Linked DNA regions of Macaca fascicularis. Each later gene encodes a partner of the first gene's protein in a complex. Links are inferred from orthologs where the notes say so. Each region holds a gene or a part of one and is shown in the gene's direction. Other genes may lie near its edges.

Region 1 (4,338 bases):
AATTATCCAGTGAATTTGATATTATTATCCCTGTTTTACCAACAAAGAAACTAAGCTCAGAGAGGTTAATTTGCCCACAGTCACACAGATCGTAAGTGGCAGAGATGGAATTCCAACTCAAGTGTACTGCCACCAGAGCCCTTGTTCTTTAATACTGAACTAGAATTGCAGAGCTTGGAAAGGACTTCACAGTGCAAGCACACGGAATTGGTACTCCAGACACGAAAAGAAGCCAGGCACGGAGGCTCATGTCTGTAATTCCAGCATTTTGGGAGGTGCAGGCAGGCAGATTGCTTGATTCCAGAAATTCAAGACCTGCCTGGGTAACGTGGTGAGACCCTGCCTCTACAAAAAATACAAAAATTAGCCGGGTGTGGTGGTGCGCGCCTGTAGTTCCAGCCACTTGGTAGGCTGAGACGGGAGAATTGCTTGAGCCCAGGAGGCCAAAGCTGCAGTAAGCCGTGTTCGCGCCACTGCACTCCAGCCTGGGAGGCAGAGTGAGAACCTGTCCCAAAAAAACAAAATCAAAACCAAAAAAAAACCCCCAAACCAAAAAACAAAAACCTGAGGAAGAAAAGCCAGTGACTGATACTTTCTTAATCTCTCAAGGAAATGTCCGGTAGGAAAGGAGAAAGGAGTGAACAAATAGAATTTTTGGCTACTTTGTTATACAATGTAAAAGGCTTTTTTGGAACACCAAGGCACAAACTAAGGTTATTATTATTATTTTTTTAACTTTTTTTTTGAGACGGAATTTCACTCTTGTTGCCCAGGCTGGAGCGCAATGGCTTGATCTGGGCTCACCACAACCTCCGCCTCCTGGGTTCAAGTGATTCTCCTGTCTCAGACTCCCCAGTAGACGGGATTACAGGCGCATGCCACCACGCCCGGCTAATTTTTGTATTTTTAGTAGAGATGGGGTTTCATCATATTGGTCAGGCTGGTCTGGAACTCCTGACCTCAGGCGATCCGCCCGCCTCGACCTCCCAAGTGCTGGGATTACAGGCGTGAGCAGAATTTTCATTCTAACAAGTTCCAGGTGAGTTGATACAGTGGCTCCAGGGACCGACCACATTTTGCTAACCCCTAGTTTAGAATTATTCAAAGAGCCCGTATATGATACGCGGACTTGATCTAGGGCGTTTAGGTTTAGTAATTAACAATTTCCCTCTTCTGCTCTCTCAAGGAAGCCAGAAAACAGGGAGACCATGATTCATGTCCAATCTCCGAGGCGCGTTATCAAGCTGCTGAAAGCAGGGCCTCCCGATTGCCGTTACAAAGGGTCCCCTCCCAGGCAAGACGCCTGCAAAACCCAGATAGTACTATCCTGGAGTCACGCGGCCGCGCGCAGCCTCCTAGCCGCCCCCACCCGCCCGGCTCGGCCACAGCGGGGCGGAGCGCGGGGCTGAGCAGGCGCGAGGGCTGGCTGCTGGGCGGACGAGGGGCGGTGCCAGGCCGCGGGTCCTTAGTCAAGTGACGCGGAGCGGCCGGCCTGGGCGCCGACTGCAGAGCCGGGAGGCTGGTGGTCATGCCGGGGTTCCTGGTTCGCATCCTCCCTCTGCTGCTGCCTCTGCTGCTTCTGGGCCCTACGCGCGGCTTGCGGGTAAGTCTGCGGGACTCGGGTACGGGGAGGCATTGCTAGGGGACAGGCTGGCGGGGAACCGGACTTGGGCCGCAGCCACCCGGGGTCCCGCAGGGCGGAGAGCCTGAGCCCCGAAGTGCCCCCCAGCAGGCAGGCGGCCGGCGGAACGCAGGCAGTGGACCGGCCTTCCCGTCGGGGGCGGGCCGGGCGGGGCGCGCGTCCTTCCAGGCAGCTCGGTCGCTTGTGCGTTCCGCTCCGGCTGCCCTCTGCGCTTGGACTCACTTCCCTATCTGTAACGAGGTGGTGAGACGAGGTGCGCCTAAAGATTTCCTTAGTTGGCTTTCCGGGAGGGGATTCCAAGTTGCGCGGGTTAGAGGGTGCCTCGGGTTCTGGTTTGGGGCGCCCTTGCTTTCCCAGTCCGTGCTCTGCGGAGCGCTCCGGAAGGAGAAAAATGGGGTCAGGAGAGGCCCCTGCTGTGGGAGCACTGGGTTATTTTCCCTCTGGGTGCTCGCCCTCTTCGTGCATCTTGTTGCCTTCTCACCACTCCCCGTCGCCTGCCCTTTGGCTCCGGTTTTTCTTCGTATTTGTGGGACCCTTTTCCTTCGGCGTTTGGGGGTCCAGGTTGCGTGGGGGAATAGGCAGGCTGCCGGGGGGATCCCAGCATTGATGGGGGGAGGTCTGGCGAGGCGAATAGGTGAGGTGCGGGGCGTGCACGTTTGGTGGGAGAGTAAGGGCAGCTTCACTCGCTTCGTCCGAGCTGAGGCGACGGGCTTAGGGGGTTCCTAAGCGCTGCCTGGGGAGGTTTGCATCAGACCTGCGGAAAGGAGAGTGGATAGTTGCAAGCTGCTCCTCTGCACGTTCCGCGGACCAACTTTGGTTCCTTCAGGGTGTAGGTGGGCCGAGCCTGCAGCACGCTTTAAGTAAGAGCTGGTGGCATTTGACACCGTGGACTTGTAAGTTACACCCTTTAATAGGGCTTTCAATAACGCGCCTAGTGCAGAGAAAAGTGGTACATTTATCTGCAACCAAGATTGAACATCTTAAGTATTTGGAAAACAGCTGCTGAAAATGTTTTCATTTTGGGAAAAAGTCAGCACAGATTATTTACTTTTCCCTCTTCACCCCGTCTGTGGTTCCCCTACCCCAGTTATGTAGACAGAGTTCTTGTCCACAAGGCCCGTAGGACCTTAGGAGTCAGAGCTAGCCAGCTGTGAGAACCACTGGGGAAGGTGGAAGTGGGGCACAGTTCAGGAGAACAGTGGCAGGGTAAGGGGCTGGGGGAAAGGCAGATTTTAACCAGTATCTGGGAGTGGGGGTAGAGAGAGAGAGAAGGATTTATGAACCAGGAGCAGGTGGACAGGGTCAGTCTGTCTGATGTAAGCTTATCAGTCTAGTGCAGCATCAGTGGGTCAGGGTGGATGCCCTGTGGCTACCATACCTGAGGCCCACACAGGGAGGCTGGCATCACCCCAGGAATTCTAATGTCAGGTGCCTAGGTGTCCCTCTTGGGCTCCTGTGCCCACAGCTGAAGAAAGATACTAGCAGTCTAGCTTTTCATTATCTCCTTGTTTACATTTCTTTACAGTCCAAGACATTCTCCTGCCTCAGCCTCCCAAGTAGCTGGGACTACAGGTGCCTGCCACCACACCCAACTAATTTTTTTTTTTTTTTTTTTTTGTATTTTTAGTAGAGACAGGGTTTCACTGTGTTAGCCAGGATGGTCTTGATCTCCTGGCCTCGTGACCCAGCGGTTCTCAAATTTTAACTAAATTTTAGCTGTCCTAGAAATTAAGAGAATATTTTCTTCCTTTTTTTTTTTTTTTTTTTTTTTTGAGACAGAGCCTCACTCTTTCGCTGAGGCTGGAGTGCAGTGGCATGATCTTGGCTCAGTGCAACTTCCACCTCCCAGGTTCAAGTGGTTCTCCTGCCTCAGCCTCCCGAGTAGCTGGGATTACATGTGCCCGCCACCATGCCTGGCTAATTTTTGAATTCTTAGTAGAAACAGGGTTTTACCATGTTGGCCAGGCTAGTCTTGAACTCTTGACCTCAGGTAATCTGTCTGCCTCGGTCTCCCAAAGTGCTGGGATTATAGGCGTGAGCCACTGTGCCCAGCCCTAGAGAATATTTTAAACTATTTGTTAAGAAATAATACATCATTATACATTAATAAACTATATATATTTGAAAAACAATAGTATTTCTCCCCAAATTTTAGGGTGAAGAGTTGCACTGTTTTACATTTCTGCAAATCTCTTTCAATGTCTCTTAATAGAAGACAGTCAAATTTTCATGTTTATTTCTGCATGAAATCTGTTGCCATATCACATGTCACATAGCCTCTGGAAAATTCCACCCTCAGGACAGAGTGAGAATGGAAAAGGCAGTAATGGCTTGGAATTATAATAAAAATAGTTTTGACTAATTGGACCCCTGAAGGGCTCTCTCCAGACCGCACTTTGAATACCGCTGATTTGGAACATTCTTATAAAACAAGTGCATGCTCACTGTAGAGAAACTTTAAACGTATAGAAAATGTGGTAAGAAAATGAAAACTGCCCATCATGTCACAATGCTGTGAGTTTCTTTTTGAATCATAAAGTATAGCTAGCAACTCACTGGTATTTGAGTGGCTTGGATTCAAGGTGGGTTGGGCAGACGTAAGTGGCCTTTGAGTTTTGAATGGGTACAAGGATGCTCTAATATCCCACAAAGCTGATGCTGGTTCCTGGTTGCAGGCGGAGTTGACCTGGAAACCT
Region 2 (4,322 bases), on another chromosome or scaffold:
CAAAACTAAAAGCGAACTTGTAGGGCATCTTAATCCATCAGCCAAGATGGGTACCAAGGCCCAAAACCAGGTAGAGGCTTGTGCAAGATCACAAGCAGAGGTGTAATTTGAAGCTAGATTCTCCCACTCTTAAACTAGTGCTGGACAGACGGAGGCCTAGCACACTGGTTACGAGCCCTAGCAGATTCCTGTCCCCACATTGCGCCAGGAGGGGTCGCTGCCCAGGGATACCTACAGCCATACTCGAGCTGGACAAGGCGCACGCTCTTGGTGGAAGCAAACACGTCCACCACCGCGTAGAGGGGCTGCGCAGCTGGCAGCCCCCGGGCGCTGGGGCCCATGTCCTCGCCGTTGATGATGATGTGCATGTCGGCCGTGCCATCGGGGCGCGGGCAGAAGAGGACGCCCAGGCGGCTACGGCGCGCCGTCGGAGGCAGCACGTTCAGCTCATAGAGCTGGTCCAAGAGATGGCTGTAGAGCCCTGGCCGACTGCGGCCCACCAGGCGGTCCCGGGGAATGCGAAACTGCTCAATGCGCAGATATGGTTCCACCAGGAGGGTTGGAGGTCGGCTGGGGGCCGCTGCCTCGGCCTCCGGGCGGCCCTCCCGGGGCACGCGGTTGTGGTGGCGCGTGATGGCGAAGACCCAGGTGTGGCCCAGGTTGACTAGGTCGGGCAGAGAAAACTCGGGAACGGGGGCCAGACTGGCGGGGTCCAGCGCCGTCAGACCGAGACGCAGATGTCCGCACCAGCCCAGCTCTTTCTCTTCGATCTCGACCAGGAAGACTTGGCCCGGGGCCAGGGGCTCACGGCTGAAGCACACGCCGTGGGCGAAGCTCTCCACGCGTGTGGCCCGCGTCCCAGAGGGGTCCACGCGGATGTTGTCACCGTGCACCCAATGGAAGCGGGTGGGAGGGGGCTCCGGGCGCGCAGGTCCCCAGAGTGCACCCGAATCCACGGGCTCGGAGGCAGCAGCCATCTCTCCGCCATAAGGCAGGCTGGCGGGCGCCGGGGCTATTTTGGGCGGCGGGCTCAGATGGTGACCGCAAGGGGACCTTGTAAGGCATTTTCCCCCTGCCTCCCTTCCCCGAGCCTCTGCCCGGGGGTCCTAGCGCCGCTTGCTCAGCCATCCCTCCTAGAACTTGGCCATCCACACCCGGATCATCTGATCGCGTGCGCCCGGGCTACGATCCGCGAGGCCCGCGGACCTTGACCTGGCATTGACCGCCACCGCCCCCCAGGCCGGTAGGGACCAAAGAAGGGGCGGGAGGAAGACTGTCACGTGGCGCCGGAGTTCACGTGACTCGGAGTACACATGACTTCCAGTCCCCGGGCGCCTCCTGGAGAGCAAGGACACGGGGGAGCAGAGGTGAGCTGGCACCGGAGGCTGGAGGGGATCCCCGAGCCCGGGATCGGTGCGCGGTAGAGGAAGCTTGAGGGTGGGAGCTGGCGCTGGGGCCGGGGCTTCCCTCGCGGAGGCGCCGCCAGCTCCTACCCGGGTGCTGCTTCACGGAAGCGCTGAGGAGCGAGGCAACAGCCCCTCTTCTGCCTCCCGTAGATGATCCGAGCCGCGCCGCCGCTGCCGTTTCTGCTGCTGCTGCTAGTGTCCTGGGCGCCCCGAGGCGAGGCAGCCCCGGACCAGGACGAGATCCAGCGCCTCCCCGGGCTGGCCAAGCAGCCGTCCTTCCGCCAGTACTCCGGCTACCTCAAAGGCTCCGGCTCCAAGCACCTCCACTACTGGTCTGCCGCCCTGCCTCCCGGGCGGGACTGGGAGGAGAGATGACGGATGAGGGGTGGGGGGTAGTTCTGCAGACCCCTGAGGACGCCTGGGAGCCGGGAGGGCCGGAAAGGACCCCTGCAACTGCACCAACACTGCCCTGACACCCCTTCCCAGGTTTGTGGAGTCCCAGAAGGATCCCGAGAACAGCCCTGTGGTGCTTTGGCTCAATGGGGGTCCCGGCTGCAGCTCCCTAGATGGGCTCCTCACAGAGCATGGCCCCTTCCTGGTGAGTGGACAGCAGGGGTAAAGCACAGTTCCTAAAGAAAAAGGCTGGGGAAAGGGAGAAACGGACTTTGTGATTTACCAGAAAGTTTCCTTCCTTCTAAGTCTTGGGATTTTCCTCTATGCCATTGGCTTTGCTGCTTGTACCTCTCAGGGGTTTTGCCCACACGTAAAGTGCCTCTCACGGTGGCCCTTTCCTTCCACCCAGCTGGCCCTTGGGACTTACTCAGCCATCTCTTTCCTCCTCAGGTCCAGCCAGATGGTGTCACCCTGGAGTACAACCCCTATTCTTGGAATCTGGTATAGCTGGAGCTGTGGGTCCTGTGGGGGTGTCTGGGCACTTGGATGGAGTGGCAGTTGACTAATTTTTCCCTCCCTTCTAGATTGCTAATGTGTTATACCTGGAGTCCCCAGCTGGGGTGGGCTTCTCCTACTCTGATGACAAGTTTTATGCAACTAATGACACTGAGGTGAGTCTGGTGCCTGCCCATCTGCCCCAGGCTCCCCAGTCCTCCATCCATGGCATGATGCTGGGAGAGAGAGCATGGCCTTGGAGTCCACTTTTCGCTCTGTCATATGCTTGTGGTATGGTGGCCAGTCACTTCCTCTTACACAGACAGGGTGGGTTGATGTCATTATCTCTGAAGTTCTTTCCAGTTCAAATACCAAAGCTTCCTGATTCCCTCTGTCTTGCTCCCCCATCCCCAGGTCGCCCAGAGCAATTTTGAGGCCCTTCAAGATTTCTTCCACCTCTTTCCGGAGTATAAGAACAACAAACTTTTCCTGACCGGGGAGAGCTATGCTGGCATCTACATCCCCACCCTGGCCGTGCTGGTCATGCAGGACCCCAGCATGAACCTTCAGGTGCAGGGCAGCTGCAGGAGGGAAGGGAGGCACCTTGAGGCTGTGGCCTTGCAGTTAGCAAGGTCAGACTGGTCAACAGCCCCATCCAACCCAGCTCCCTGCATACCCTCCCCACCACCAGCTGCCCTAGGTCTGTCTAGTGTGCCTCCCACAACAGGAAACTCATCTGTCAGGCTGCCAGCTCTGTGCTTTGCATTGAGTGACTTTCCACACCCAACCGCCCCCATAAACCACCCTGGGTTTCAGCTTCCGGATTGCTGAAGGTCTGGGTGTTAGGGTGAGGGAGGCTCCTCCTCTTCGCCCTCCACATGAGCTGAGCGCCCTGGGTGTTTCACAGGGGCTGGCTGTGGGCAATGGACTCTCCTCCTATGAGCAGAATGACAACTCCCTGGTCTACTTTGCCTACTACCATGGCCTTCTGGGGAACAGGTATGGGATAGGGCAATTGGGCAATCTCTAGGGTCACATGATCTCGAGTCTGTCCTCCAGGCACATGATATGACAGGCCCAGCCCAGGTTTATGAGCAGCAGGTGGGTTGCAGAAAGAACACAGTGCTGAAAGGCCAAAGAATAGAGATCAGATTTTTCTTTTTTTTCTTTTTTTTTTTTGAGACAGAGTCTCACTTTGTCATCCAGGCTAGAGTGCAGTGGCGCGATCTTAGCTCACTGTAACCTCCACCTCCCAGGTTCAAGCAATTCTTGTGCCTCAGCATCCCAAGCAGCTGGGACTACAGGCACGTACCACCACACCTGCTTAATTTTTTTGTATTTTTAGTAGAGATGGCATTTTGCTGTTGGCCAGGCTAGACGCGAACTCCTGGCCTCAAATGATCTGCCCGCCTTGGTTTCCCAAAGTGCTGGGATTACAGGCGTGAGCGACGGCGCCCAGCCAGAGATCAGATTTTTTTTTTTTTTTTTTTGAGACGGAGTCATGCTCTGTCGCCCAGGCTGGAGTGCAGTGGCCAGATCTCAGCTCACTGCAAGCTCCGCCTCCCGGGTACACGCCATTCTCCTGCCTCAGCCTCCCAAGTAGCTGGGACTACAGGCGCCCGCCACTTCGCCCGGCTAGTTTTTTGTATTTTTTAGTAGAGACAGGGTTTCACCGTGTTAGCCAGGATGGTCTCGATCTCCTGACCTCATGATCCGCCCGTCTCGGCCTCCCAAAGTGCTGGGATTACAGGCTTGAGCCACCGCGCCCGGCCAGAGATCAGATTTTAAAGGAACTAAGGAGGCCTGTCTGTATGACCCTGGGGCACCTCTTTGGGAGCTAGCTTAGGTGACGTGCAGACCATACCCTGTGATACCTTTCCTAGTCTCCTAGGGTCAGGGAGGTTGGTGGGAGGTGGGGGTATGCTCGCCTCCTCTGCCCTCCTCTTCCCACCAGAGGCTGATGCACTTTTCACTCTCATCTCCTACAGGCTTTGGTCTTCTCTCCAGACCCACTGCTGCTCTCAAAAC

Evidence for each region.
Region 2: the proteins of GLB1 (region 1) and CTSA are in contact, whole or in part, in a cryo-EM structure (PDB 7KDV), measured with the Mus musculus proteins. The link is inferred for Macaca fascicularis from reciprocal best matches to the Homo sapiens genes GLB1 and CTSA. Residues at the interface, in NP_033882.1 of Mus musculus: Tyr198, Asp199, Arg202, His206, Leu229, Thr233, Leu234, Gln235, Asp236, Leu237, Lys258, Phe259, Glu260; in NP_001033581.1 of Mus musculus: Glu29, Asp31, Ala37, Lys38, Gln39, Pro40, Ser41, Phe42, Arg43, Tyr107.

The regions. Positions count from the first base shown.
Region 1 is NC_088376.1:15,300,580-15,304,917, forward strand, and holds the start of GLB1 (beta-galactosidase), read left to right. Parts: upstream 1-1,467; 5' UTR 1,468-1,528; coding exon 1,529-1,603; intron 1,604-1,791; exon of another isoform or gene 1,792-1,895; intron 1,896-4,317; exon of another isoform or gene 4,318-4,338.
Region 2 is NC_088384.1:101,929,484-101,933,805, forward strand, and holds the start of CTSA (lysosomal protective protein), read left to right. Parts: upstream 1-1,322; 5' UTR 1,323-1,413; intron 1,414-1,556; coding exon 1,557-1,738; intron 1,739-1,892; coding exon 1,893-2,004; intron 2,005-2,249; coding exon 2,250-2,300; intron 2,301-2,383; coding exon 2,384-2,470; intron 2,471-2,708; coding exon 2,709-2,864; intron 2,865-3,201; coding exon 3,202-3,293; intron 3,294-4,282; coding exon 4,283-4,322. Other genes in the region: NEURL2 (neuralized-like protein 2), read right to left, coding at 236-977. UniProt on the Homo sapiens protein: Protective protein appears to be essential for both the activity of beta-galactosidase and neuraminidase, it associates with these enzymes and exerts a protective function necessary for their stability and activity.